Linked DNA regions of Alligator mississippiensis. The protein of the gene in region 2 purifies or fractionates together with the protein of the main gene of each other region. This does not show direct contact. Links are inferred from orthologs where the notes say so. Each region holds a gene or a part of one and is shown on either strand. Other genes may lie near its edges.

Evidence for each region.
Region 1: the proteins of MTA2 (region 2) and CHD3 purify together in Homo sapiens (affinity purification with mass spectrometry; 8 studies listed by BioGRID and IntAct, with this or other methods). This does not show direct contact. The link is inferred for Alligator mississippiensis from reciprocal best matches to the Homo sapiens genes MTA2 and CHD3.
Region 3: the proteins of MTA2 (region 2) and ZNF512B purify together in Homo sapiens (affinity purification with mass spectrometry; 3 studies listed by BioGRID and IntAct, with this or other methods). This does not show direct contact. The link is inferred for Alligator mississippiensis from reciprocal best matches to the Homo sapiens genes MTA2 and ZNF512B.

The regions. Positions count from the first base shown.
Region 1 is NC_081838.1:24,912,624-24,922,274, reverse strand, and holds the start of CHD3 (chromodomain-helicase-DNA-binding protein 3), read right to left. Parts: upstream 3,768-9,651; 5' UTR 3,442-3,767; coding exon 3,216-3,441; intron 1-3,215.
Region 2 is NC_081838.1:3,230,223-3,239,677, reverse strand, and holds the start of MTA2 (metastasis-associated protein MTA2), read right to left. Parts: upstream 3,462-9,455; 5' UTR 3,344-3,461; coding exon 3,316-3,343; intron 2,560-3,315; coding exon 2,492-2,559; intron 2,127-2,491; coding exon 2,033-2,126; intron 1,179-2,032; coding exon 1,061-1,178; intron 907-1,060; coding exon 843-906; intron 612-842; coding exon 494-611; intron 363-493; coding exon 260-362; intron 1-259. Other genes in the region: EML3 (echinoderm microtubule-associated protein-like 3), read right to left, coding at 4,437-4,643, 5,191-5,321, 5,436-5,534, 5,965-6,052, 6,511-6,608, 6,817-6,905, 7,006-7,073, 7,256-7,387 and 5 more. UniProt on the Homo sapiens protein: May function as a transcriptional coregulator. Acts as a component of the histone deacetylase NuRD complex which participates in the remodeling of chromatin.
Region 3 is NC_081832.1:2,816,228-2,825,850, forward strand, and holds the start of ZNF512B (zinc finger protein 512B), read right to left. Parts: upstream 4,053-9,623; 5' UTR 2,476-4,052; coding exon 2,430-2,475; exon of another isoform or gene 1-2,429. UniProt on the Homo sapiens protein: Involved in transcriptional regulation by repressing gene expression. Associates with the nucleosome remodeling and histone deacetylase (NuRD) complex, which promotes transcriptional repression by histone deacetylation and nucleosome remodeling.

The DNA.
Region 1 (9,651 bases), about 22 Mb from region 2:
GCAGCCTGCCCCGACATGAATGCCCTGGCCTCCAAAGCTGAGCCAGGCCGGCGCAGGTTCCGCTCGGATAAGATAACGTCCTGAGGTCCCTTCCAACCCCAATTTTTCCACAATACACGTTCACTCACTTGGGTCTGACCTGAGGGGCAGGAAAGCCAAGGGCTCCCCAGGGGGGAAGGAACTTGAGGCCTCAAGGCGGGTTTGAGGTTTGAGACCGCGTGCATCCAGCCCATCGGAACAGAAAACGGCTCCTCTTAAAACACAGGATTTAAATGAAACAACCCCATTTGGGGACCAGAATGAGGGTATCCAATCCAATTTCCCCATCCCCCTCCCGCTTTTTAAAGAAGAAATATCCTTTGCCCTTCATTCTGTCACTGATTCAAAGCACCAGCCCTGAGAGACATCTCTAATAGGTGAGGCAGGGTTTGCTCACTGGCACCGAGGGGCCTAAAGCCTCTAGGTTTCTGGAGCCGGCTCATCAAGCAACCCATGGGTCTGGAAGTGCTGCAGGGATGGGAGCACTTATTGCTGCCGTAATTAATGTTTGTCACCGCTCCCCCACGCCCAAATATCTGGACCTGGATTCAACAACAACGCGCCAGATGTGGCCGCACTCCAGATGGGGTGGGTGTCACTGCCCTAGGTCCGGTCTCCCCTTGGGAGACAAAGCCCAAGAGAGTTAGGTTCCCGAGGGTCTCTAGGGACGTTTGATCCTACGCCACTCTTGCCTGAGCCAGCCTGCTGCGGCCCAGTAATTAAACTGAGGCTTGTTCTCGAATCAAGAACAGAGTAACTTTGGAATCTTCAATGTAATGCTTCATGGCGGGAGATTATAAAGGCACCAAGAGCTGGGGCTGATGCTAAAACCCACCGTGTTTAACCATGAATGAAACAGCGAGCGAGCGAGAAGTCGAGGACCCCGTGGGCAATCCTGTGATGGAAGACAGTGGGTGCGAGGCGGGGGGGGATGAGCGTGCACAGCTCCAAGCAATGGGGCTTGATCCAGAAGGGAAAATGGCGGCATTTGATACACACACGCCTCCACCGCCCCCCCTTCCCAACACTTCACATCTTCCCCCAGGCTCCGTGATTTGCAGAGAGCAAATCAAAGCCAGCTCCGCTGGGGGAAGCTGCGCGTTCAAAACCAACAACAAAGGCTCCCGGCTATATCGGTCTGGGGTTTCAAGCACCCCAGGGCTCAGAGGCCGAGGCAACATGTCCCAGGCAACTGGTGTGCGGGTTCGCCTGTCCCGCCACCTGAAGCTTTTTCCCATAAGGCACCGGCTTCCCCGCCTTTGCTCTGATCACGGCTGACAAGGCCTGTCCCTAGAGACAAGCTCGGCAGCTGATGTGGCCCTGACCCCGGGCTGCCCGATTCCCCCTGTCCTCAAGTCACCCTTCCCGCCCACCAGGCCTGACCCCGGCTGCTCCCGGTGGGCAGATCTGCCAGGGCACCTTTTGCTGATGGAGCTTCAGCCCTGCAGGGGACCCCCGTATCCCGCCAGCCCCATCGAGCTGGGTGCTGAGAGATCCCTGTGCCCACAAAAATCATGAGGGCGAGGGCTGATCCCCAGGCGGAGAACCAGATGCCACCTGTGCGGCGCCCTCCGTTTGGCCAAGGCCCAGCAGCCACTGAGCATGGTGACCCCGAGTGATCTCAGCCCTGTCCAACCTGGCAGACACCCTCCCGGCCTCGGGCTCCCCACAGGGCCCCAACCTGCCTGCCAAGAGCCCGGCCTGCTGCCAAGTACCCACGGGCCGCATCCAGTCGCACATCCTCCCGCCCACCCGGCCTGCACCATCGCCAGCACCATCCTGCTTAAACGCACAGGCCTGTTTGGCACAACGGGCACCCTCTACTCCTGCCAACCCACCCCCTGTGGGGCCAGAGGGTGTCAAGTGCCCCCCACTGCTGCCAACTGACTGCATCCTGACCCCAGGCCCCACTCCGCAGACCACCAAGCACACTAAGGATGGCTCCCCCCATCAAAGTGACCCTCCTCCTGAAGTGACCAGACCCCCCCCCCCATCTTTGAGGCAGGGGAAGAAGAGGGGGCATGCAAACAGAGGGGCACTCAGCACTTCAGCAGTGTGGGGCCTACCGTGTGGGGGGAGGGGGCACCTGGCTAAAGTGATGGGGGGGAAAGGGGGATGGGGGTCTGCCCCCCACTGCTGCTGCCTAAGGAGACAATTCCCTGGGGGGGGCTTGTTTACCAACCCCTAGGGTGGAGACACAAGGGGGATCCCCCTCCACAATCTCCTGGGGGGAGCTAGACACTCTCAGGCCCCAACCCAGGGTGGAGAAGGAACCGAGGGTGAGGAACCCCCCCCCATGAAACCCTCAAGGGGGGGCTAGAAACTCTCCTAAGCCCCACCCCTCCCCCACCCACAACAGTCCAATATGGGGGGGTAGAAACTCCTTCCACCTTCAATGACCCAATGGGGGGGGCTAGAGATTCCCCCCACCCTCAAGGGCCCAATATGAGAAGGGTGCTAGAAACTCCCACCACCCAACATAGAGGAGGGGGGGCTAGAAACTCCAGCCACCTTCAATGGCCCTATATGGCGGCGGAGGCAGAAACTCCCACCACCCAATATAAAGGGGGGTTAGAAACTCCAGCCCCTCTCAATGGCCCAATATAGAGGGGGGAGCAGAACCTTGCATCACTGTCAATGTCCCAATATGGGGGGAGGGGGGCTAGAAACTCCCACCACCCAATACAGAGGGGGGCTTGGAAACTCTTGTCACCTTCAACTGCCCAATATGGGGGGGGGTGTTAAAACTCCCATCACCCATTATACAGGGGGGTTCAGAAATTCCTGCCACCCTCAACGGCCCAATATGCGGGGGGGGGGCTAAAAACTCCCAGCACCCAATATAGACCGGGGGGGGGGGGGCTACGAACTCCCACTACTCTCAACAGCCCAATATGAGGGGGGGCTAAAAACTCCCACCACCCACTATGGGGGGGTGTTTACAAACTCCCGCCACCTTCAACGGCCCAACTGGGGGGGGGGCAGAAACTCCCCGGCCGCGGACGCTGCTGGGGGGAGGGGCGGCCGGGCCGGGCCCCTCGCGGTGGCGGAGCCGTTGGGGCGGGGGGGGGGGGGCGCGTGGAACCCTCGGGCCGCCACGTTCCAAAGCCGTTGGTTGTTTACAAACAGGGGCCGGGGGGGCGCCCCGCTCGGGGGGGAGGCGGGGGGCTGTTTACCTGCGGGCGCCTCAGTGGCCGCGGCGGCGGGCGGAGTGGATGCTGCTGGGGCTGGCGCCAGGGGCATGGGCCCCGCCTGGGCGGCGGGCAGGAATATGTCGCCGGGGCTGTTGTCCCCTGCTCCTTCTTCCTCCTCCTCTTCCTCCTCTTCGTCTTCATCCCCCTCCGCCTCAGACACCACCATCTCCTCCTCCTCTTCCTCGTCCTCCCTCAGAGGGGAAGCCATGGTGGTGCGGGGGGGGGCGGGGAGGGGGAGAGGGAAGGGGGAGCCCCCCCTCACCACGCACGAACCCTCTCCCCCCTCACAACACCGAAAACACAGCACGGGGGAAAAGTCCCATGAAGAAAAGGGTTAAAAAAAGGGGGGGGCGAGGAGAGGAAAAAAAAAAGGAGAAAAAAACTCCACTCAACTCCCCCCCCCCCCCCCCCCGTGGAAAAAAAATAAATAAGGGGGTGGGGGTAAAAATATATATATATATATCTCTATCAAAGCTGAGGGGGCCGCTCAGAATAATATTTTCCACAAGAGCAAGGAGCAAAAATGGCCGCCCTTCAATTATTTTTAAAACAGGCCCCCCCAGGAGGTAAAAAAGGAAAAAAAAAATCCCCCCCCCTTTCCACCCCTTTTCTTTATTTTTTTTTTTAAAGAAAACAAGATGGCTGGCTTCTTTAAAAAAAAAAAAGTTCCCCCCCCCTCCCGACACACACACCTCTTCCTTGAGGTTAAAAAAACAAAAAACAAAAAAAAAAACCCAAGAAAGATTTTTAAAAAGAGTAGGAAAAAAAAGCCTCAACAAAAAAAATCAGGCACCAATAACCACCCCCCCCAAAAAAAATCTGCGCTCCCCCCCTTTTTCCCCCTTCCCTCTCAATATATATATAAATATAGATAGCTCTTTCTTTCTTTCTCTCTCTCTGTTTTGTTTTGGTTTCTTTTAATCTCTCGCAAAGATCTCAGATCATTGCATAGATGAACAATATTTGTATATTCCTGGCACTGGGGGAACTGAAAGAGAAAGATTTCTGCATAAAACAAAGATGGCTGCTCTAAATTATTTCTTTTTTTTTCTTATACTCCCCCCCCCCAACCTCCCTCAATAAAAATATTTTTTACCCGGGTGGGGGGGAGAGAAAAGGCTGGATTAATCAGTACTCATGCTCAGTATGACATCAGCATAAATTGTTAAAGGTTAACTAGTTCCATACTAGTAACACCATGATTTTTTTTTTTTTTTTTTTGCTTCCTCTTTACTAGTCTACGCGAGAGTGGGGGGAAAGGGGCTTTTTTTCCCCCTTCCCTTTCTTACTTCTAAATACTTCAGAAGGGAGTGGCTTTTTCTTTCTTTCTTTAGCCTGTCTGGCAATGAAAAAAACCCCAAAAAACAACCTTGCAATTCATTTAAGTGTAGGGTCCAAATTCGTTTAAGGGCATTGTTAGGAAGTATTTAACTGTTTTCCTTGATGTTATTTTTTTTTGGTGGGGGGAGGGGGGGAGCTCATGTCAGGTATTTTTATTTTCCAGCACTTTTATTTTCCTTCTGCTAAAAAAAAGCACCATCCTTTCTGTTTCTTTCTAAATACCTTCCCCATCTTACCTCCCCCCCCCGCCCAGCTACACACGCGCGCACACTAAAAATTGGGGACTACAAATATTTCAGTGTCTTCCTTATTTTATTTTTCTCTTGAACTATTTTACTGAAGTGTTTCACTGGTATCAAGTGCTGCAAAGTGCTTTTTGCATCCCCCCTCCCCAAGAAAACAAATAGAAAGTGGGGTGCATCCAAAAAACAAACAAACCAGGACACGATATTCTGGAGGGCTCTGATCCTGTGACGGCCTCTGGACAGTTGTGAGGACCTGCTGACCTTGCTAGACCAAGCAAGCAAAAGGCATGTCAAAAACCACAAGCAGGTCCCTAGGGCCTGATCCACTGGGTCTGCTCACATGAGCAAGGGGACACATGCACGTGTTAAATAAGGAGTCTGGGCGAGGGGAACTGCCAGTAGATTGGGGGAATTCCAGACTTCTACGTTTTCGGCATGGTTGGGCTTCCGCTGCATACCAAATCCTCGCCCTCCCTAGGTAAGCACGTGAAGAACGCCATCCCCCGTAGCTGTTACTTTCCAACCTCCCTCCTCCAGGCCTCCAACACGAGAGCAGCCAGGACCCCCTTCCTTAAAGAAATGAAGGACACCATCTCTCATTTTAATCTCTTGTTCTTTTTGGTAGCTGTATCCTGCTTTGCAGGACGAGCCTCCAGAATGTCATCCACCGCCCACCACTTCCGTGTGAGCAGACTCGACAGCAAGGTCAGGGCCTGAGTGAGGATTCCTACCAGTTGCTTAATGGGTTTTGTTTAGGCACAGTCTTTCCAGGCCCCTGGATTGAGAGATGGTAGTTTTATCGTTTCTAGAACTGGCGGGTCGGTGGGTGAAAAAGTGCAGATCAGGGTATGCAACTGTGCCTGCTTGACTAGTGGTCCATCCCCGGATGGTGTGAAGCATGCAGGAGATGTGATGTCCCTCGAACCTTCCATTGTGCAAATCCGCCGCTCCCCCAACATGTCAGTGGTGATCTGTGGTCCCAAATTTCTCCCCTTTCTGTTTCCCCAGATCAGCTGGGATGATTATTAGCTTTGTGCCCCTGCCCCATTAACATTTCTGTGTGTGGCCTGCTGGTCTGAGATACAAAAATCCTTTGCTGTTGAAGGCCAGGAAGGATGGATCGAGTCTTTTGCTGCCTGCGGAAATGCATCAAATCTTTTCCGGATACCAGGCTTTCAATTTCCAGACCTGTAAGACAGCCCCAGCACGTTCCACAAAGAGAAAAGAGGGCCATGGACTATCTTTCCCGCTAAACAAATTGTGGGAACCCCTAACCAGGTCCAAACCCAGGTCATCTTGCAAAGAGAGAACATCCAACCTTTTGGAGAAGCCTCACTGGAACCAACAGACTTTTGCCTCACCTTACAGCTGGAGCCATCATTAACAGGAAGGATTTAGCAAAGAGTGGTGTGTTTATATGTTTAATTATGGCATTAAATCTCATGGGGCTGAGATTTTCTGTGGGAGCACCTGGACTCTTCCCCCTCACATGCCTCTGATCTGCACACACATCCCTGGAAACGCGGCGTCTGCTGCTTCCTTCTCGGCAATCTTCCCCCTGTAGGATAGTCATAAATACCCGCGTAGGATATGCCCATCGCCTGCAGGGACTCGCAGCTTGCCAACCAAATGGTTCCCTCTGTGCCTTTTATATTTAATTCAACACCCCTCCGGCCCCCCAGGAGCCTGGGCGTCGAGCCTATTCATTCATGTCAAAACAGTTCCCCGGTGCTGCTGGAAGCCAACAATTGGGGAGGAATTTGGAGGCCAGAGGGAACCTGAGTTGGTTTTCATTTTTCTCTCCTTCTTTCAAAGGCAATTTCCAAGGTTTTTTTGGAGTTTTTTTTCTTCCCTCTCTCTGTGGCTGCTTGGATCTTCAGCTGGTTTTGTCATCTGCTGAGCTGCCTGGGGGGGGAACAGGGAGATCCAACAGGACAAAGCGCTAACCTGCCTCTTCAGCTGCTCATTGAGTTGCGGTCGGGGGGGAGCAGGTCATGCCATTGCACATGATAGGCCCCGATACATGTTGAGAGCAAGGCGCGCATTTCCTGCCAACAAGTGAGACTCAGCTTAAACTTGACCCTGGCTGTTTGTGGCTTGGTCTAGATCCCTCAGGGAGCAGCAAGGGTTTTTCTTCTCTCTTCCTTTTTTCCTCAATCTGTCTCTCACTGTCTTTGATGCTTCTTTGTAGCTCATCAAGTGTCAGGGATTGCACTGCAGACCCATACAGAATGACACTAATAGGGGAGCTGTCGTGTTTATCTGAAGGGCTTCACCCACCGCCGTTCGGCTGACAAGAGGGTCAAAGATTGGCTCCGAGTGCCGCCTGCCCTCCCCCCACCAGGGGAACTGCCTGTTTGCTTCCAAGGCAATTGCTGGCAGTTCTTCCCTGCTGATTTCCTACTGCACGCCTTACTCTCCTCTCTAATAAGGGAAGGCTGCGTGGCAGCTTTCAGGAACAGGGCAGGCATGCCAAGGCCAAGGCTTCCAGGACCTTGGAAGCAAACAGGAGTTCCAGCATCAACTTCCCCCAGGCCAGGATATCACCCTGCTTAATCTTGCCTATAGCTGTGCGGCTGAGGCGCTGGGTGGAGTCCCAGAAACAGCCTCTGATACAGATTCCCTCTCAGTCTTGCCACTCAATCTCTCCGCGGGGTGCTAACATCCTTGCTTGGGTCTCCCCTTCCAGTTTAAATCTAAAATCTCTTCTGGGCAGGAACTGACGCTTCTCTACATGCAGCCAAACAGGGCAAAGATTTCTGACAGGGCCAAGGCACACCCTTTTTTTTTTTAGCAGCTGGGGTCCCATCGAAGTGTTTCTGATATAGCATGGTATTGCCTGGGCTGCACAAATACAGCTCCTTTTGGGCTTGGAGCTGGGCCAGCTGGTTACACGGCCCATGAACTGGACCCGTATATTTCAGAGGGTTTTTATAAGGCCAACAAAAATAGCACGTTCCCCTCTTCCACCGATTCAAGCTCCACTCTGACTGGGATTTCCCAGCCTGGGGCTGAGACATGCGGTTGCCATACATTTCATCCGCATCCCGCTTCTCCTGCTAACAGCTTACCAGTTGGCATCCTCCAAGAATGCTCCTTGCTGTAACGAGTTGACCTGGGTGAAGCTGTATCGATTTGCGGCCACTGAAGATTGAACCTGAGAGCTGTTGGAGGCACAGAAAGGATGATTAACTGGTTTCCCCACCGGCTAGCCCAGAGCGGTTCCCTCTGGGAATGCATAGAATGAGCCTTGCATTGAAAACAAAAATGCATAAATTACCAAAATATGATCAAAATGTAACAGTGCATGTGCTTCAGGATACTGTGAACAGCAAGAGTTCTGGAGTCCAAGAAGTGGACGGGGCAGATAATTAGCTGCTAGCTACAGAGTTCAGAGTCTGCCTCTAGGATATTCTTTCTGATGCGGCCCTGGGTTGTCCGGCAAAAGTGCTAATTTGTGCTTGGCAACTGTTTGTCATCACCTGCATCCTGGTGGGCAGGGACTGAAGCTGCCAGAGGTGCAAAAACTCTGTGTGCCCTGATAAAACAACACACAACTACAAGAACAGCAGTCCAGCCGCCTTGCTACCTGAACGGGGTTAAATCTGGGCTGGTGGACTCTTCCTTGACACATTTCTACAGTGCTTAGCAGCAGGTCTCCCCTTCTGGCCTGGGGCTGCTCTTGGAAATCAGACCAGGGTGAACAGATCATTCAGAAATTGGCCATCAGGTCCAGAAAAAGCCCCATTCCCTCTATCTTGCAACCTCACTAAATTTTATGGTGAAATCTATTTCACTCTGGGTCAAACTAAGGGCTTAGTTCAGGGGTGTCATGTGTGTTGGGTCCCATGGGGACTCCTCACGGGCTGGATCCACCCCCTGCTGCCAACCTTTAATGTCACGGGCAGCTAAAACCCCCAGTTTTGGCAGTAGGCAAGGGAAGTGAGCAGCATTAACCCCTCGAGATTTGGAACCACTCCAAAACAGCTGTGCTGAAAGCACTCCGGCAGTGAGCCCTGTGGGGAAGCAGGTGGCCTAGTCTGTGAGAAACCCCGCAGGACTATCCAACCCACAGGTCACAACTCTGAGACCTCCAGTTGTGCTCGACACACACCAAAACACTTCCAGCTGATTTGGAGCACTTTATGCTGATGATTATTGAAATTTCAAACCAGAGGAGTGCTCAGAGGAACACATCCAACATCTCCCAGTGATTTTGCCACCAAAGCACTGGACAGTGGCCAGCTGCTGCTTCCCACTTGTGAACCCTCCTGGGGCTGCCGAACCTGCACTTTTGTTTCACCCAGACAAGGCGCTGGCTGGAAACTGCTGTTCCCTGGCCCCAATCACGCTGTGCCCAGCCGAGCATACCCAGCTGAGCTGGCTGGCTTCATGGCACTGGCTCTCTGCTTGCCTCCAGCTGCTGAAAGCAGCTAAAAATACTGGCCAGACTTCCCCAACGCCGGCTTCTCTGCAACGTTGTTGGCGGGAGAAATGCATTTCGGTCAGTGGGGGTCAGCAAGAGGGCAGGTGGGGGCTGGCAGCTGGGCCCGATGCCGTGGGCACTGCATCTGCAAGCAGGCAGCGGCTGTCACTGTCAGAAGACTGGGCTGCATGCCTCGCTCCGAGGACGTTTGTCTCACCGCTGGGTGAACTCCTCCCAGAGGTGATGGGGTTTGGCGCGTCCGTTTGCCTGTCACACGGCCACCCTTCAAACCGCAGCCTTGCGTAACTGCCACTGCCATCACTCCATCAGCGGCTGGAGGGGATCGTGGCTCCCTGGGGAGGAAGGAGGGAGCCGGTGTCACCTGGGTTGTGTTGGGAAAGAGGCA
Region 2 (9,455 bases):
TTCGCCCACTGCTCCCCGTGCTGCCAGGGCAGGTGTTTGGCTCGAGGTCCCAGTACTATGCTCTCGCGTGTGGCTGGGAGCAGAAGAGCTGTCCCTGCTCTTTCTGGCAGTGCTCAGGGCTCCTCTTACCCACCAGTTGAACAGCCTGGCCCTAGCACCCTACCCTGTGGCTCTGGGCCTCTAGACCCCCCGACTTCTCCAAGGCTGTTTAAAGCCCGTCCCTTCCCCCCTGCTCCCCCCCATCCCACACTCCCCTCACCGGGCCACCACGAGGAACTGGTCTATCTGCCGGTCCGTTAGGGGGTTGTCGGGATCCCAGACCTTCATCTCCATTTTCTGCTGGTTGCGGTTGTCAGACTCACCTGCGGGAAGCAGCTGGGTCAGGGGAGGCCCCACACACATGACTGCCTGCCTAGTCTCTTGGGAGACAGTCCTGATCCCCTTCTCCAGCCAAGGGGGATGGACGCGGTCCCCTTCCCTCCCCTCCCCATACCTTCAGCCAGCCGGTCGGGGATCTCAGCCTGGTACTTGCAGCCGACACGAATCTCGCCCTGGTCGGCCAAGAGGGTCTTCTGCACAGGGTCGAACACCAGCGAGTAGAAGAAACAGTCCTGGAACCGGGGGAGAGGAAATGAACCTTGGGCTGGGAACACCCCAGAGCCCCCAGCCCTCCAGACCCATGCCCAGGGAACTGCCCTCCCCCTAGCTGCCAGCCCAAAAGAGACTAGCTCCCCCACCTCCAGGGAGATGCACCCCCAACCCCAGCCCAAAACAGTTCTTCCCCCCCCCAAGCTCTACAGAGACCAGGACCTTGCCCCCAGAGAGCTACGACCCCCCCTCACCTCCTTCTCCAGGTACTGGCCCAGGATGTCAGTCTCGTTGAGCAGTGTCACGCTGCACTTCCCCCTGTGGGCAACCAGCAAGATCACGTGTCACATGCTGGAGTTCCCTCCCTGCCCAGGCCAGCTCAAGGAATCCCCCCCCCCCTCACCTGCCACCCCCCCACCTGCCACATGCAAAGCTTCCTCCCTGGTAGCTGCTGAGGTGCCCTCCAACACACCTTATGTGAGTGGCCGGCAGCGACTCGAACTGGCGGGACAGGAAGAGCTCGCGATGCTTCAGCTGGTGCCGCTGCTGCTCTGTCATTGTTGGTTGCTTTGACTCCTCCTCAAACTCCCCTGGGGGAACATGCCAAGCAGGGGGAGCAGGGGAAGGGGGGGTGTCAGGTAGCTCCACACAGCTCCCTCTTCATGCCAAGGAGATGGGCTCAGACCCCTGCCCACACTTCCAGGCCCCCCTCCCCGCCCCCAGCAAGAGCCGCTCCCCCCAGCCCCCATGGCAGGAAGCGGCTCCGTGGAGGCAGCTGCGGTCCAGCCCCGCCTGTCTCCAGCTCCTGGCAGCTGCCCAAGGGCTTGGGGGTGGAAAATCTACCCCTGCTCCTGCGCCCAGGAAACCCCAGGCAGAGCCCTCGCCCCCCCAATGCCATTAAGCCCACGTGGTCTGCAGCCTCCAGGCTGCACCGGGTCACGGGCCAGGGCAGCCCTGCATGGTACAGTGGGAGGAAACCCGCCACCCCTCAGCCCAGCTCTGTCAGTGCCTCCCATTCCTGACCTGCAGCCCCTCTCAGCCCCGCCGGTCCCTCACTCCTAACCCCACAGTCCCTTTCAACCCCTATCCCTGCCAGTGCCCCTCACATCCCAACTCGCAGCTCTCTGCCAGTGCCCTTCACCCCCAACCTGCAGCCCCCGCTAGCCCTGCCAACGCCCCTCACTCTTGACCCCCAAATTCTGCCAGCGCTCCCTCACCCCGGGCCCTCAGCCCCTGCGCCCCACTCCCAGGCCCCTGCTACACGGGCAGTGCTGGGAGAAACAAAACCAGCCCCCAATTTGCTCAGAGACAAGTCAGGGCAGCTCAGTCCCTGGGGTTGGACCTGGGCTGCTCTGTACCCCGTCACCCTCAGCCCAGGCCCAGGATAGACCCCCCTCCCTCCACAGTGGGAGGGGTCACAGCTCCCCCCTGGTGCCCCACTCACGGGCATTGCTGTCGGCCAGGCTGTTGAGGCTGCTGGAGATGTCACGGCGCCGGAAGAGGCAGACGACCTTGGCCTCCACATTGCCGTTGGCTGTCTGGGGGCAAGAGTGAAAGGCTGCCACAGCGCCCTGGGCACAGTTGCCCCCTGCATGTCTCCCCAGCCCCCCCAGCCTTGGTCTGCAACCCCCCACATCCCCTCAGTCAAGCCCTCCTCTGCCCCCCCAGACCTGCCCCACAACCCCCTCATCTCCCAAGGCAGGCCAGGCCCACCCCAGCCCAAACAAGACTCCCCCCGTGCAACCCCCAGACAAGCCGAGCCCCCTCAACCCTCTGCAGAACTGCCCCAGAGCAGGGCCTCAAAGGGGGGGAAGGGGCCTGGACGCCAGCCCCTGGGGCATGGGAGGGGGCGCGACTCCATCCTGCCGGGGTCCGTCCCCAGGGCGGCACCGGGGCCTCTCACCTTGTTGAGCTCCTCGATGCGCCGGACGAGATAGGGGTTGCTAGAGGAGTTTTCGAAGTAGACGTAGTCTGGGGGCGGGGAGGGAAGGGGGGGCTGTCAGGGGGGGCAAAAGCGGCGGGACCCCCAACCCAGCCCCAGCACCGACCCCTGCAATCAGCCCCCCTGAGGCCTAGTGCCCCCGACTGCGGCCCCCGGGGCGATCCCCACCCCCGCGCCCAGGGGCTGAATCTCTCTTGCTGCCCTCCCCCGCCCTGACCTGCCCCCCAGCCCCCATCTAGATACACCCCCCCGGGATCCCCAAACTCCCCGTGGGGCCGCCTGCCCCCCACTCCCCCACACGGCTCCCCACCCCCTGGGATGACCTGTCCCAGCCCCCCCAAACTGCCCCCTCAGAGCTCATCGACCCCCTCCAATACCCCTCGGGGGCCGAGCTACCCCAGGGACCCCCAAATCACCCCTCGGGGGCAGAGCTGCACCCCCACCCCCCTCCAAATACCCTGGGGGGGGCCGCTACCCCCCCCCCAGCAACACCCCAGGGCTCTGAAAAGTTACCCCCCAGGCCCTCAAACTGCCCCCACTCCCTCCAAATACCCCAGTGGGGGGTTACATAACCCAGCCCCTCCACTTGCCCCCAAGCTACCCCCGAGATGACCTGCCCCCCTCACCCCCCCGAATGCCCCACGGGGGATATCTACCCCAGCCCCCACGGGCTCAACTCCCCCCACCCCCTCCAAATACCCAGGGGGGGCACTTGCCCCTCCCCCCCAGGGGACGGGGGTCGGTTCCGGTTCCGGTTCGGTGCCGGGCCCCACGCGCGCACTCACCGCCCACCCGGTACATGTTGGCCGCCATGGCCCCGGGCCTGGCCCGGCTCGGCTCGGCGGAGCTCGCTACCGGCAGCCCCGGCCGCTCTTCATCGCCTCCCGCCGCCGCCTCCTCCTCCTCACGCAGCGCCACTCGGGTGTTTCCGCCTCCGCTTCGGACGTTTCCGGTGCCGCTCGGGTGTTTCCGCCGCCAGCTCGGGCACTTCCGGCATCACTCGGGCGTTTCCGTCACCGCCCTGCCGCTTCCGCCACCACCTCGGGCATTCCCGCCAGCACTTCGAGTATTTACGGCGGCGCTCGAGTATTTCCGCCCCTAACTCCACTCTCGGCCACTTCCGCTGCTAGCTTCGGGCCCCCCCCCGGAAGAGCCTTGGCTCGGTTTCGGCTCTTTCCGGCAGCACTCGAGTCTTTCCGCCCGCCGCCGCTTTCGGCTCCTTCCGGAAAGGGGGGGTACTTCGGGTCTTTCCGGCTCCCCATTAACCTTTTCCTCGCCGTGTCGCACCATTTCTTCCCTTTTACTCCCTCGCCCTCTTTAGCATATATGAGCATAGATCTGGCTTCTATTTGCATATATTAGCATAGAACCAAAAAAAATAGACATGCACCCTCCATACCCCCAGTTAGTGACTCTTTAGCCCCAACCCCAAGGCGCTGATGAGATGCAGCCAGTGCTGAGGTGGAACATGGGGATGCTGGTGCAAACATGCAGCCACCTCTAGGGTGGGGCACAGCTCCCCTGCATCCAGGGATACCTCTGAGCCCAACGCAAAGATGCAGCCACCTCTGCGGTGGGGCAGACCCCCCCACTGCCCCAGCCGAGCCTCCCCGCCCCACCAGGAAGGAGACGGGAGCCCGGCCCCTGATGCCAAGGCTTTATTTGGGCCTGTCACAGTGTCGAGAGCGGCTTGGAGCAGCCGGGAATGTAAACGAAGGTGGGGGGGCTGCATCCTGCCCCCCCCAGACTTGGTCCCGTGGAGGAGGGAGGGGGTGCTTGGCCCCTCCCTGCTTTGGCACTGCCTGCCTCCCCCTCCTGCTCTGCCCTGGGGGAGTTATGGTTAATGAAGCAGGTCACATCGTTAGCGTGAGTTAGTGCCGCGGCTGGCTGGGGGTGGGGGGGGCACTCAGGGCCCCCCCCCAGCCTCCTGGAAGGAGAGGGAGGTGGAGGAGAAGGAGCGGCTGCGGGGGGGCACGGCGCCCCCCCCGCTCAGCACCCGCCACTGGAAGATGCTGGTGTCCTTGCCCCCCAGCGAGACCAGGTGCCCGTCGTCGTGGGTGAAGCGCACGTTGGTCACGTGGCTGCCGTGGCCACCATACATGTGGCTGGGGGCCTGTGGGAGGGAGGAGTTGTGGGGTGCAGGAGTTGGGGGGCTGAGACCCCCCCATAGAACCCCAGTGCCCCCCTAAGGTCCCAGAGCCTCCTCCAGGCCCTGCTGAGCCACCCACCCCATATGAGACCTCCTAGAGCTCCCCAGCTGCACTGAAACCCCCCACCCCAATAAGAGACCCCTCCAAAACCTCAGGACCCCCACACTCTCTGCAGCAACCCCAGCTCTGAATATAAGACCCCCCCCTAAAACCTCAGGAAACCCCTCGAGTTCGGCCAGCCATATTGTGGAACCCCCCCCGGTCCCCCCACCCCCAGCAGAGACCCCCCTCAAGACACACTACCCACTACCTGGCCTACAAGGCGGAGTGTGCCCCCCACCCTGATACCTGCCCCCTCTCCAGGCAAGATGCCCTGGGCAGAGACACGCCAAGACAGCCAGGGCCCTCTGCCCCAGAAATTCTCCGATCCAGAATTGCCTCAGGTCCAGGGCAGAAGGGCCTGGCACCCCCACCCCAACCCCCAGGGAGGGGGCGGGGGGGGCATCTGACCTTGGCACGGGAGCAGGGGTACTGGAAGAGATGCACCTTGCAGAAGTCATCGGCCACGGCCACCACGCGCTCGCTGTGCGACCGGCACAGGGAGTTGATGTCTGTGCCGTCCGAGCCATCCGGCCACACGCCTGCACACACATGAGCACGTGTGGGCATTCCTCTGTGCCCCCTGCCCCCCCTGGTTCTCCCCGGCACCCCCAGGGGACACCCCCAGGGTCCCCCTCCCCATGTCCCCAGCTCACCGAAGACGTGGAATCCGAGCACGCAGGTGTACGTTGCCCACTCCCGGTCCCGGCTCTCGAACCGGTTACGCAGCAGCTTGCAGCTCCCAGCCACGTCCCCTGGGGGGGCATGGAAGGGGTGTGGGGGGGATGCACAGCCTGACTCCCTCCAGCCCCAGCCCCCTTGGAAGCTCCTCAGCCCCATGCAACCCACTTCCAGCCCCCTCACCCCATGGGGACCCCAGACCCATGCAACCCACCCTGCAGCTACCCCATCCTCCAGGCCGCATGGAGACCCCTCCAACCCGCCCTCACACCATGCAACCCCGCTCTACCTCATGCAACCCCACCCACAGCCTCCATCCCATGGAGAGCCCCCCACCCTGCAGCTACCCACCCTCCCAGCCCCCATGGAGACCTCCCTGAACCCCCCCCCAGCCAACCTGGAAACCCCCAGAGACACCCAACCCCATGCAACCCCCTTCCCTCCAATCCTGCCACACCCAGTTGAGCCCCCCAGCGCAGCCCATTGGAGCCCCCCGCAGCTCACAGTAGAGGATCTCATAGTCGCCTGAGTTGGACATGATGAACTTCCCGTCCTTGGACCAGTCCAGGTGGGTGATAAAGCTTGAGTGACCCTGGCAGGGGGGGAGGGGGGTATAGCAGGGGCATGAGACAGACAGACCCCGCCATTATGCCAGAGGCCTATAGCCCCATCCCAGGACCCCGTCCCAGGGCCAAATGCTGACAGTCTGACCAATGGCTGGACCCGTACCCTAGCCAGTACCCCTCCCCAGCCCCCCCAACACTCTAGACCCCCCCACAAACCCAGAACCCCCCACCCTGCTCCTGTACCCAGCACCCCAAGACTCCCACACCCAGCCAAAGCCCACCCCAGTCCCCAGCCCCATTTTGAGATCCCCCTACCTGCCCCTGCCCCTCCGAGCACCAAGACCCGCCTCCCAGACCCCAATACCCAGAGACCGCCCCCCAGCACCGACAGACCCTCTCACCTTGATTCTGCCCCACCTAGCATCCAGAGATCTCCCCCCCTTCTTTGCCCCTGCCCCCTTGCCCACCGGCCCTCAGGGCTCACCGTGCAGCGGCCAAGGCGGCTGTACTTGCGAGCACCGTCACCCACGCTATAGATGTAGATGAAGTTGTCGTGGGACCCGATGGCCAGGAACTCCCCGTCTGCAAGGGGGGGGCAGTGAGCCCATGGGGGGGGCTAGGACCCTGGGGGTGCAGAAAGGGGGGTTGGGGCTTTGGAGGGGAGGAGGGGGCCCACGGGGGCAGGTGTGACCCTATGGAGGAGCTGTGACCCTATAAATCCCTGTAGGGGAGATAGGAGGAACCATGGAGAGGGTGGGGGGTGACTCCGTGGGGGGGGGGGGGGTGCGACCTGGTGAGTAGCGCATGACCGAGAGCTGCTCGTTGCCGTCCGAGCCGCTGGCTACAACCTGCTGCGTCTCCGTGTCCAGCACCAGCCACCTGTAGGGGATGGGGGGTCAGGGCCCCTGGGAAAAAAAGGGCCTGAGGGAGGGGGGGCACCAGCTGCCCCCCCACCCCCCGCCCCAGGGGGGGCAGTTACCGTCCAGTGTTGAGTCCCACGGCCGCCACCTGCCCGCTGGGGTGGAAGTCAGCGCACAGCCCTGTGTCCTGGGGGATGGGAAGCGTCAGCCGGGCCCAGCAGCCCCCCAGGCTGCAGGTCCAGCACCCCCAAGTGCCCTCCCAAATGTCCCCCCTGAGGCCACAGACCACCCCCCAAACACCCCCACAGGGCTGCAGAGTCCCCCAAGACTCTCCTTGACGCCACAGCCCCCAAAGGCCCCCCCCCCCACCTCGAGGAGCAGGCTCCAGGCCAGGCTGTGGGCAGCGCCGTCCCATAGGCAGAGCTGTCGGTCGTGGCCGCAGGTGAGGAAGACGCAGAGCCGCGGGTGTGTGGCCAGGCCCCACAGTTCATCTGTGTGCCCCTGGGGGAGCAGAGCAGGCTGTGACCCCTCCCCCCCCCCAGCTCATCCGTGTGCCCCTGGGGAGGGGAGCAGCTGTGACCCCCCAACCCCCCTGCAGCTCGTCCGAGCACCCTGAGGCAGCAAGGTGGGCTCGGACCCCCAGCCTCTGCCAGCTCTAACCCCCCCCCCCCAGGACTCCCACAGCTCCCTTCTGGCCCCATAGCCCCCACACAGCCCACTCAGCCTCCCTACAGCACATCCAGATGCTGCTGGGCACATGAACGGGGCAGGCTGGGAACCTCCAGCCCCCCAAGGCCCCCCCCAGTGTAGCTATACCCCCCATTACCTGGACAATGGGGACGAAGCCCTGGGCCAGCCCCCCCCGCAGCACTGCGTTGCGTGTCGTCCCCACCAGCAGCTCCCCCCCGGCACCTTCTGCGATGGTGCGCACGGCCCCAAACCGCTCAGACAGCTGGGGGAGTGGGAGGGGGGTGTCAGGGGGCAGCTGGAACCACCCTGCCCAGCCCCCAGAGCTGGGGAGAGCCCAGCATCTGGGCTCCCAGCCCCCGCTGCTCTCATCCCCCACTGCCCCCGAGGACCCCGGCATCCGGGCTCCCTGCTCTCAACCCGCACTCCTACTCCCTTCCCCAGGCTGGAGACAACTCAGGCACCCAGTCCTACCAGCTCTCACCCCCCAGTCTCACCACCCAGAGAACCCAGGTGTCCGGCCTCCCAGGCCCCCCAGCTCTCACCCCCAACACCACCCCCGAGAGAAACCAGGTGTCCAGCCCATCACCTCGGCCTCCTGCAGCAGGCTGAGCTCGGGGCTCCAGTGCACGAGGCGCCGGTCCTTGCCCCCCCCGCTCAGCACAGAGCCGTCACGGCGCAGACACAGTGCGAAGACGCTGCCCTCGTGTGCGTGGGTCTGCCGACCGATTTGATACGTCTCTGCAAGGGGATGGGGAGGTCAATGCAGGACCCAGATGTCCGGGCCCCCAGCCCCCTACTCTCCCCCCCAGTCCCTCCTCCCCCTCCCAGAGCTAGAGAAAACCCAGCCCCCTGTGCTCTCACCCACTCCCCTCTGAGAGCTGGAAAGAGCCCAGGCATCCAGGCCCCTCTGCAGAGGGAACCCAGGCATCCAGTGGTCCATACCTTTGGCGCCCCGGCCCAGCGTGCGCACATCAGCAGCTGCCCGGGTCCAGGTGAGGATGTTCCCCTCCGAATCACCTGTGAGGACGTCGCCACCAGCATCGAACACGAAGCATTGGATGAACTTGGGCTTTTTGTACTTCTGGGGGAGGAACGGGGGTGGGGGGGTGAGCAGGAACCCAGACCCCCTGCTCCAAGCCCCTGGGCCTGAGAGAACCCAGGTGTTGGGGGATGAGAACAGGGGAGCTGGGAGCCTGGACACCTGGGATCTCTCGAGCCTGGGGAAGGGAGCACGACTGGGTGTGGAGAGCAGGGAGCCCGGACACCTGGGTTCAATTCAGCTCTGGGAGGGGAGTGGGGTCTGGGTGACAGAGCGGGGAGACTGGGGGCCTGGACGCCTGCGTTCTCTCCAGCTCTGCGACAGGGTGGGGTGAGAGCAGGGGGGTCTGGGAGCCTGGACACCCGGGTTCCCCCCCCACTCGGGGAGGGCAGGGGGTGAGGCCTGGGTCCCGCTGTCCCACCCCCAGGCCACATACCCCAAAGATGCCCTGCTTCTTGCTGAGGCTGGCTCCGCTCCAGGTCCAGAAGTAGACGTGGGATTTGCCCCCGGTGATGATGCGGCTGCTGTCTCGCGGGTCGAACTCCACTGTCAGAACCGACTCATTTGTGCTCTGGGGGGGACGCGGGCAGGGGGGTCAGCGCACTGCCCGGACACCTGGGTCCCGACAGCGCAGGGTGGCTGGGAGCCTGGGGGCTGGGTTCTCTCCAGCGCTGGGAGGGGACTGGGGGCTGGGATCCTGGACACCTGGGTTCCCCCAGCACTGACCTTGATCTCGGCCTGCTTGGTGCCGCGAGCCCAATCCCAGACCGACATCATGTGCTCGTTGGAGTCATCCACCACGCACAGGAAGGTGCCCTGCTCCTGGGGAGTGTAGGGGGT
Region 3 (9,623 bases), on a different chromosome or scaffold from region 2:
ATTAAAAACAACAGGCTGGATCCATCTGAAGAAATAACAACCAAATGGCTTTTCCCATTCTCTTATTTCTCCGCTTTCATTAAAAGAAACCAAAAAGGGGGGGAAAAAAAGCGAGTTTTAATGAACAGATCGAGTGATAAATTTGCAATTTTCGCTATTAATGGGGAACTGTTATAAAGCGAGAGTCGTTAACGCTATCTCCGTTCTCCATATTAATAATTCAGTTTGGTTCCCTGACAAATAATGAACATCAGAAATGATCCGGAAGGGCCCAATCTCGCTCCCAAACGGCCATAGAGTCCAACGGCGGCCGGATTCGTTCTTGGATCGGCCGGTTGTTGCGGTTCTGGTCCGAGTCGGTTTTGAGCATTTGCAAACGCGCTGCAAAACACTGATGAAACGAATGGTGGGAGGGACGTTCGGCGATCACGAGTGGTGTGAGTGTAAGGACGTGGGTTGCTCTCTGCATGGCAAGCACAACAGCAATGACACACCGGAGCGATGCGCTCTAGAAGCTCCTCTTGCTTTTGCTAAGGTGGAGAAGTCTCGGCGTGTGCGTAACACTTGCTACGCGGGCTGAATCCCCGGTGCCGGAGGTGGCGAGTGACAGAGAGCAGGCCCGCTGCGGACCGCGTGGCCGGGGCAAAGCAGAGAGTGCGGAGCCTCTGCTGTAAAGGCCGATTCCACCAACTTGGGCAACTCCACCCGTGGTGGGATTCACCTGAAGTCCTCAGGGCTGGGAATGCAGTCTGCACCATCGGCCCTCAACTTGGACTCGGGTCCGCGGTTTGGGCTGAGCCGAGAGGTCTGAACTGCGGTCCCCACCACGCTACATGGGTGTTTCAGGTGAACATGCTGCAAACCCACCGCCGAGAGGAGCGTGCTTCCAGGCATCCGGGGTTGCACGGCGAAGGGGGCACCACCGCTGCATTCAGAGGTGGCTCCTTCTCTTCCTCTCTCCCTTTGCCATTAGACAGATCCCTGGCAGAGACGAGGCATTTTGCACATCCTTCCATGGGACAAGATCTGAACGCTTCGTAGACACTGACCCATGGCCTTGACAGGCTGGCACATCCATCCTGCAGGAACATGGCGCTTCGGTGACTTGCCCGACAACATCCGACGAGTCGGTGCCAGCCTGGGACACAGAATCCCATGTTCCAGCCCTGTACATCCTGCAGCTTGCAAGGACACAGGAACGCGCTGCCAACTTCCACTTTTTAGGGGTGTTAAAAGAACTTAACGATATGCAAGAAGTGAACAAGAAGAACAGCAGAAACGGAGGCAGCCTGGAGACCCCGGGGCCCCTCGTGGCACATCTGCCGGCCACATCTGCTCAGAAATAAAGAACATGCATAGCGCAACTAACCTCCCAACGCGCCCTGCGCCTCCACGCGTTAGATACAGACAACGAAGCACAGCGTGTTTGGAAAGACTGGGTGCTAGTTAATGCGACTAGACTCCAGAACCAGGACGGTGCCAGACGTCCCGAAATCAGGCACGAGCTGTCCCCCCGTTTTGTCCCAGTTCCATTTCCTCTCCTGGTGCCAGTCCTTGCCTGGGTTATGATCCCACCGGGCAGTTTTCTGAAGAGGACCAGAGGCTCCCTTATCTTGCACCTCTGAAATCAATGGGAATTTCCCCACTGGCTTCAGCAGAGACAGATGACGACCAGCAGTGTTGGGCTCTGACGCGCGGGTGGGATAAGGGCAGCGGGCAGAGCCTGACCTGGCTGGCTCTACAGCCAACCACATCTTGCAGCGTGGCTTGGAGGCCGTTTATAGCCCCTGAGCCTGCCTAGCCACATCCTTGCTTGTCGCCGAGCCCTGATGCACGGAGCCACTTCCTCGGAGCTGAAGCAGGGGCAGGGTGTTGTTGTTCATCCCCTCTCCGACAGCAACCGTCTCCTTCTAGCAGAGGTGTTGCAATTCCCACCCTCCGCAGACCCTCCCCACTCCTCAGCCCCCGTGGCTTTATCGGTACCCAGCCACTTCCTCTCTCAGCCCCCGGCAGCAACCTGCACGGACGGGGCAGGCTCTAGCCGGGGGGCACACGACTGCAACGATTCCTTCTGGCCTGAAGGTCTACAGCTTCCTGCTAGCTCACGTGCAACTTGGTAAGTGCACCCTTTTGCTCAAGCAGTGTGTTGAGGCCTGGCGAGATCACTGCCATTCTGCTCTTTGCCAAACCACTTCACCCTCAAAGCCACGGATTAGACTCAACACCCAAACCTCCAACAACGTTGCTGCTTCTGCTTCCATCTGCCCGAAACCCAGTCAAAAAGAACCAGAAAAAGCCCATCCCTGCTCATTCAGCAAGCCCCCTGCGGGTCAGCAAGCCCCTCTCTGGAGGGTGGGCTGTTGGACAAGCTGCAAAGCACTTAAGAGCCTGGATATCTGATCCTACAAGGTGTGCAGGCATCAACTCACGCATGCTTTTGATGTCCAGGGCATCGCTCCTCACACGGGGACACATGGAATTGGAAGAAGCCGAGAGTCCTTAATGGGACTCTCTATGTGGCCAAGGACAGTGCATTGGGCTTGAAAGCCAGCCACGTTGGGGACACCGGGTAATGCTCCGAGACTCTCCCGCTTGCAATTTTGGTACTGAAAGATTAGTCATCTTCCCAGACACCAGGGTTAGTCATCCTCCGATCGAGTGAGACATCCCAGTCTCGTCTCCACCTTCTCGGGTGCCTGGAGCTCAGCAGAGGCACCGTGACTTCCACCAGCTGAGCTTCTTGGTGTGCTTCTTTGAGCTTTATCTACGATTTGATCCCAGCAGCAGGTGGAGGCAGCCCTGGTGTGCAAGGCACTGCACAAATATATAGCATCCGACAGTCCTCACCCCACTAACTTAGATCTTCCAGGCTAGGAGACAAGAAGGAGAAAGGGCAGGGCATGATTGTGTACAAGCAACACACGAGTCTCCCATCGAACAATTATTTATCGAGTTATCCCTATCAGAGACTCATGGACAATGAGGGTGGGAAGGGACCTCAGGGGGTCACATCTAGTCCAACCCCCTGCTCCAAACAGGACCAGCCCCAGCTGCATCGTCCCAGCCCCTGAATGGGCTTGGATCCACAGACGGTGCCCAGACACCCTGCGTGGGATCTGTTTGGCCTGCTCACTTGGAGCAGTGTCGAGTCCCTTTGTCTGTGCACCCAGCTCCCCCGGCGTCACACCTGGTCCCTCGCTGAGCAAGCACAAGCCCGAGAGCCCCAACCTAGAGCCAACGCTATCAATAAACTCCCTTTCCTCCAATGTTTCTTACTGTGTGCTGCACCCCTTTGGGGCCGGCCGAGATGACCTCACGAGGTCCCTTGCAGCCCTACTTTCCTATATCCCTTGAACACACCTCGCAGTGCAGTCATCCTTAGAAAGCAAATGCAAAGGAGGGGGTAAACCAAGATGAGGAAGAAAATCAGGGTTGGGTTTTTTGTGTTGATGTGACAGAATACCGAAGGAAACCACTGAGGTATGTGCTCACTGCAACTTCATCCCCAACCTGGGATATTGCTTACATAGATCTGCTTTGGAATTTAATTTCCTTGGCTACATACACACAGGCAGACGGGGAGACAGACAGAACAGCACGGCACCGAAATAAAGACTTAACGCAAGAAAACCTGACATGGCTGGTCTCAGCCGTGAACACAAGACGGTGTAACAATTCAAAGCACTTCCCAGAGCAGTACAGTTCAGGTGTGTTACTGAATACTGATGCCATGTTTTAATTAGACATGTACTACACCAGTGGATCTCAACCTATAGTCCTCAGACCCCTGCGGGGGGTCTGCAGGCTATGTCTAAGGGGTCTGGAAAAGGTGACTACGATGAAGCAAAAGTAGGTGAATATGCACGCTGACAACTCAAAGGGGTCTGGCACCTCTATTAGAAATTTTTTAGGAGCCCACACATGAAAAAAGGTAGAAAAAACCACAGTGCTAGACCATAAAACCTCGGTGTTGATGGCAGAAATGTGCATGCTTTGATCATTTAGAATTAAGAGCTTATTATTTACTTGACAGACTGCAACGTTTCCCTTGCAACTGGTGCACGGGGGCCAGCGTGGTCCAGTGCTTAGAACAGGGGCCTGGGAGTCGGGGCTTCCCCGGCTGTCACAGACGCTCTGCGTGAACACGGCTCGCTGTGCGACACGCTGGGGAAGCTTCATGTGACGGGGGCTAAGCAAGGCTCAGGAAGGAGGAGGAGAGAGGAGCTGGGCTGAGCACAGAAGCAGGACGAACCCCCACTCTTACTCTATACCTGTTTCAGGATCGTGACCCCACCTGGCAAAAATCCCAGGAAGGACTCTCCATATATTAGCTCCAGCCGGGCTAAAGCTGCAATGAAATGGCCTGACCCCAGGCTGAGGATGCATGTCCCAGGCCCTGGAAGAAGCAGGTCACTCCAAACACATGAAGCAGCCTACAAAACTCCTGACACACGACCAAATCCCACAGTAAAACCAGGCCTAAGACACTGCCATGCTTAACTGAACTCCTAATTAGATGACAAATTACAGCAGAGGAGCTTTGGGCCAGGAGATATGCTGGCACCTGGAAAAACTTCGCATCCAAAAGCTACGCTGCGTGTCTTCAATGAAAAACGACCCTGAACACCGAACAATCGCGGCTCCTTCCATTCAACGCACCCCTCGCAGCCAACCCTGCCCTGCAGCTCTGTAACTCTCGCAGATTTTATTTCCTCCCCAGCTGCTTCTTTAAAAGCTTTGCCCTTCTCTTTAATTTAGCTTAAAATCCCAGCTAATATACCGTTTATGCAGGGCAAAAAATCTGCTCCCAACCCCACCGTGGCTTTTAGTGTGCTCACCCCAGAGCAACAGAGCAGAAACCAGCCCGGCATATCCAAACGTCTCCCTTTTATTTCCCCGCGCACACTAGATCAAGACGATTGATGACTTCCAACCTCTCTCCTCTGCTTCCTTAAGGGTGGGTTGAAAGCCAGTTTCAATTTACAATAGCAAAACAAAAATCCCCCCTGCCCAGCAGCCCCTAAATACAGTCGTGCTGGGACGTGGCATGTTAATGACATCTGAGATCGATTCAGGTGTTCCCACAAGGCGCAGAAAAGCGGGTCAGGCCTGTGATTAAGTGACACCTCACCGGTCTGCTACAGGGAAGCCCGAATTCAAGCATCTGGTCCTAGCCTGCCAGAAGCAACAGGCAGAACCAGCGCATTTTAACCGATTAATCCTTGAACTCGCCCCCCTCCGCCCTTTGGCCAACACGAGGACCAGGCGCGTCGATACGAGGTAAGCCCCCAAATGCAGAGTCCAATGAGAAGTTATTACAACGCAGAAGCCAAACGTGGGAGCAAGGAGGGAGACACGTGAGACAACACAACCTACATACACACTTCAAATTTGTTCTCATGGAAAAACGCCTGGCCTCGATGCTCTCGCTCGACAGCACGAAGCGGGATACGGAGAACAGGCCGCACTGTCATGCAGTCCCTTTGGGGTCAAGTTCATCTTGGGATAAGCTGGCATGAGTCCCATCGATGTGCAATGTATTCTACAGAGGCAAAGCTCATATCGCAGTTACTTAATTGTTCTGGGCAATGTCTCCCCTGCATCGTAAGCAGACCTACCACTGGAAGTTGCAAGGCTTCTTGGCCAGCTTCCTGGGTCCTGGTGGCCAAGACCCAGAGATTGGTATTCCAAGGAAGCCGTCGGGAAGCCTTAAAAATCTCCATCGGACAAGACGCATCAGAGGGAAAATTGTGCAGAAAAGCCTCTGCTCACCGCTAAATGCCTCCGGTCAAATGAATGAAGTTGCAGCCATTTATACCTGAGTTTGGTCCCTTCAATCTCGGCCCGTGGTTATCTGCGTGGATGCCATCAGCCACTAACTGCTGGGATCTAAGAGTCCCCAGTACATCTGTAGGACTGGAAAGAGGGGGAAAAAAGAGGCCTGCAGGTCCTTAATACGGTCCACTCCCCCTGCCCTTCCCGGGTGAAGTGCCAACCACATCGTTAAGAACATGCCTAATGTAGAACAGGCTGAGACCTCGGCAATTTCCTTCACTTAGGATGAATAATTTATGAGCTGCTGCAAATGTTCCCCGTGTTGCTCCGTGCCAAAAAGAGCCCCGAGCTGCAGAACTTGCGAGCCGACAGCAGGAGGGCGCAGGCCGGGCGCACGTGGACAGAGGGACGCAGCTGAGAGCAGCCGCGGGAGCCTCTGGATTTACCTGGCTCTCGTTAGCGCCAGAGGCCTGACGTTCACTCCGGAGCACAGCCTTTCTTCTGGCCCAGGGCAAGGCTCACGGGCCTGGACCTGCGTCGTTCCTGTTTCGCAGTCCTTTCCGCCCATCTCCCCCAAATCATGCGCCGATCTGCCGTTCGGTAACTTTCTTAGAGCCTCCCCTCTCTCTGCGAGCTGCGCGCCCCTCCGTTTTCCGCAAAACACCGCGCTTGAGGGACTCATTTCCTTCCTTCTTCAGCAGCACCGTTGCAAACGCACCCACCAAAAAGCCCCGTTGGCTTAGGAAGGGCTGGAAGTTTCTCCATGTCTCCTCGTGAGCTGTCCGAGCAGGGACCGAATGTGTCCTCGAGCGGGCGGGAAATCTGCCCAAGTTCCTTCGCAGAGGACATCTCTGGGTGCGTGGGAAGCCCAGGGTGCTTTACAGTTTCTGCTCTAGCAACTCTTGCCGCCCCCCTGCAGCCACGAAGCAGTGGCAGAGAGAGCATGTAGGCACCCAGAGGTGACGAGCGGCGATAACCCCAGGGCATGCACAGCCCTGGCCGGCGCACAGTGAACGGGTCTCGCAGAGACGCCCCTTCCCTGGCCTGGAGGGTACACGCCGCCCCGACCCCCAGGGACAGCCTGGGTCTAGTGACGGTGGAGCTGCCACGGCCTGACGCTGCCTCCAGCTGGCGGCCCGGTCTCGCCTGCCCCGCCCCGGGCTGGAATCACACGGGAGCTCCCAACTGAATGCGCCCCACCTGCGTGTCCCCACCGCGCAGCCCCACTTGGAGGTCACCTACCCGCCCTGACCCTACCTGGACATCCCTCCTGCATGTCCCCCCACCCACCTGGGTGCATCCCGCCCACCTGCACGTCCCCCACCCACCTGGGTGTGTCCATCCTGTACATCCCCTACTCACCCACCCCACCTGGGTGTATCCATCCTGTACATCCCCTACTCACCCACCCCACCTGGGTGTATCCATCCTGTACATCCCCTACTCACCCACCCCACCTGGGTGTATCCATCCTGTACATCCCCTACTCACCCACCCCACCTGGGTGTATCCATCCTGTACATCCCCTACTCACCCACCCCACCTGGGCGCATCCGTCCTGTATGTCCCCTACTCACCCACCCCACCTGGGTGCATCCGTCCTGTACATCCCCTACTCACCCACCCCACCTGGGTGCATCCCACCCACCTGCACGTCCCCCATACACCTGGGTGTATCCATCCTGCATGTCCCCTACTCACCCACCCCACCTGGGCGCATCCCGCCCACCTGCACGTCCCCCATACACCTGGGCGCATCCGACCTGCACGTCCCCTATTTACCCGCCCCACCTGGGCGCATCCCACCCACCTGCACGTCCCCCATACACCTGGGCGCATCCGACCTGCACGTCCCCTATTTACCCGCCCCACCTGGGCGCATCCCGCCCACCTGCACGTCCCCCATACACCTGGGCGCATCCGACCTGCACGTCCCCTACTCACCCGCCCACCTGGGCGCATCCCGCCCACCTGCACGTCCCCCATACACCTGGGCGCATCCGACCTGCACGTCCCCTACTCACCCGCCCACCTGGGCGCATCCCACGCAGCCCGCCCCACCTGCCCCGGCCCCACCTGCGCGTGCTCCCGCGCCCGGCCGCGTCCCGGCCCCACCGCCGGCCGGCCCTGGCGCTCCGTGCGGCCGTGCCGTGCTCGCCGCCCCGTCCGTGCCGGGCCGTGCCGTGCCGGGCCGTGCCGTGGGGCCGCGGGGCCGGGAGGGGAAAAGCAGTGAAGCAAAATGGCGACTTTTCGATGCAGCGGCAGGAGAGGCAGCGGCAGCGGCAGCGGGAGCGGGAGGGAGGGAGGGAGGGAGCGGCGGCGGGGGAGGCCGGGCGGCGGCCGGTGCTTACCTCGGTGCTGGGCGGACGGGCACGCGCCGCCCCGCGCCGCCCCGCACCCGCACCCGCACCGCACACACGCAGCGCCTCCCCCCCGGCTCCGCCGCCTCTGCCAGTTTTGCAGCCGGGAAAGAAGAGGTTGGAAAAAGCAACTTGCAACTCTCGCGTTATTCCTTCCCCGCCGGCCCGTGCCCGCGCCCGCACCCCGATAACCCCCTCCCCGCAGCGCCCGGCAGCGTGTCCCGCTCCGCCTTCCCCAGCTCCCCCGCGCCCGGGACAGCGGGCACGCGAGCGTCCAGCCGCCCCGCGGTGGCCCTCGCCCGGCTCTGGACGGGCAGGGCCCCGAAGGCAGCGTGCCTCGGTTTCCCCGTGTGCATCCCACGGGCTAGTGCAAAGCGGAGCCGGGTGTGACTGCCCGTGGCTAGAAACGGCGGCAGGTTTGATCCAGGCGTGCCAAGAGCGCCCTTGCGAGGGTGGCACAGCGTCCCACTCGCGCCACCCATGCAGTGCCTTTATTACCGCCACCCACGCACGGGTTGCACTCCCCTCTCCGGGACGTGGCAATGCCTCCCCGTTCGAGGGCACTGTGCACTAGCGTCGGCTTGGCCCAGGTAAAGGACCCGAGGCCCAGAGAAGCACGGCCACTACACGGGTAAAACCAGGCCTGGGCTTTCCCCAACCCAAGGTGAGGTAGAAGGATTTGGGAGCCCCCATTCTGCATTCAAGTCATTCCCCGTTCTTCCCATCGCGTCGTGCAAGCAGGACCCGAACGTAGCCCGCTGTGCTGCAAAAAGCCTTGGAAATAATAATAATTAAAAAACTCTGAAGAGTTTCTTGCATGGTTCATGGGCCTGACAGGGCTGTTTGGGATCAGCGGGGCACAGATTAGTACGTCTTCTCTGCGCTGGAGGCCGGCACCCTGGGGCACGCGGAGGAGACGCTTGCTCTTATTCCTGCTCGAACGGCAATGTGGGGAATCACTCGCGGCAGCCGGAAGATGCGCCTGGTACCCCATAGGGAACGTGCAGCCACGTGCCAGAACTCCGCGCCCCCAAAATCATCTTTGGCTTCAAGTCCAAGGGAGATGGATCTAGCCCGTGGCCTGGAAGAGCAGGCGTCTGCCGGCAAGCTAAGCCGAGAGCAGCGTTGCTAACTTAGTGAGGTAGGAGCGAGGCCTTGTGAACAAGGTAATAAAGCAGGAGCTCTCGTAAACCTGGCCCACGCACAACGAGAAGCGGCAGGTGCGTCTTGCGCCGCATGAATAGGAGCCAGGTTGCCAGCAGGTGATAGCGTCCCTGGGCACGTAACGGCATCTGCTTGGCTGGAGCTAGCAGAGACCCTGGGAAGGCCCAAGCCGACGTGCCAGCTGGCTTCGTGGGCTAGTAGAAATGCATCTAATGTTGTCTGTCCAGGGTGAGGCTTTCACCCCTTGATGCATACCAGGGTATCCCAGCCATTGAGGTCCTGCCATGCCACGAGGATGCTCTAAGGCATGCCTGGACCCAGCCA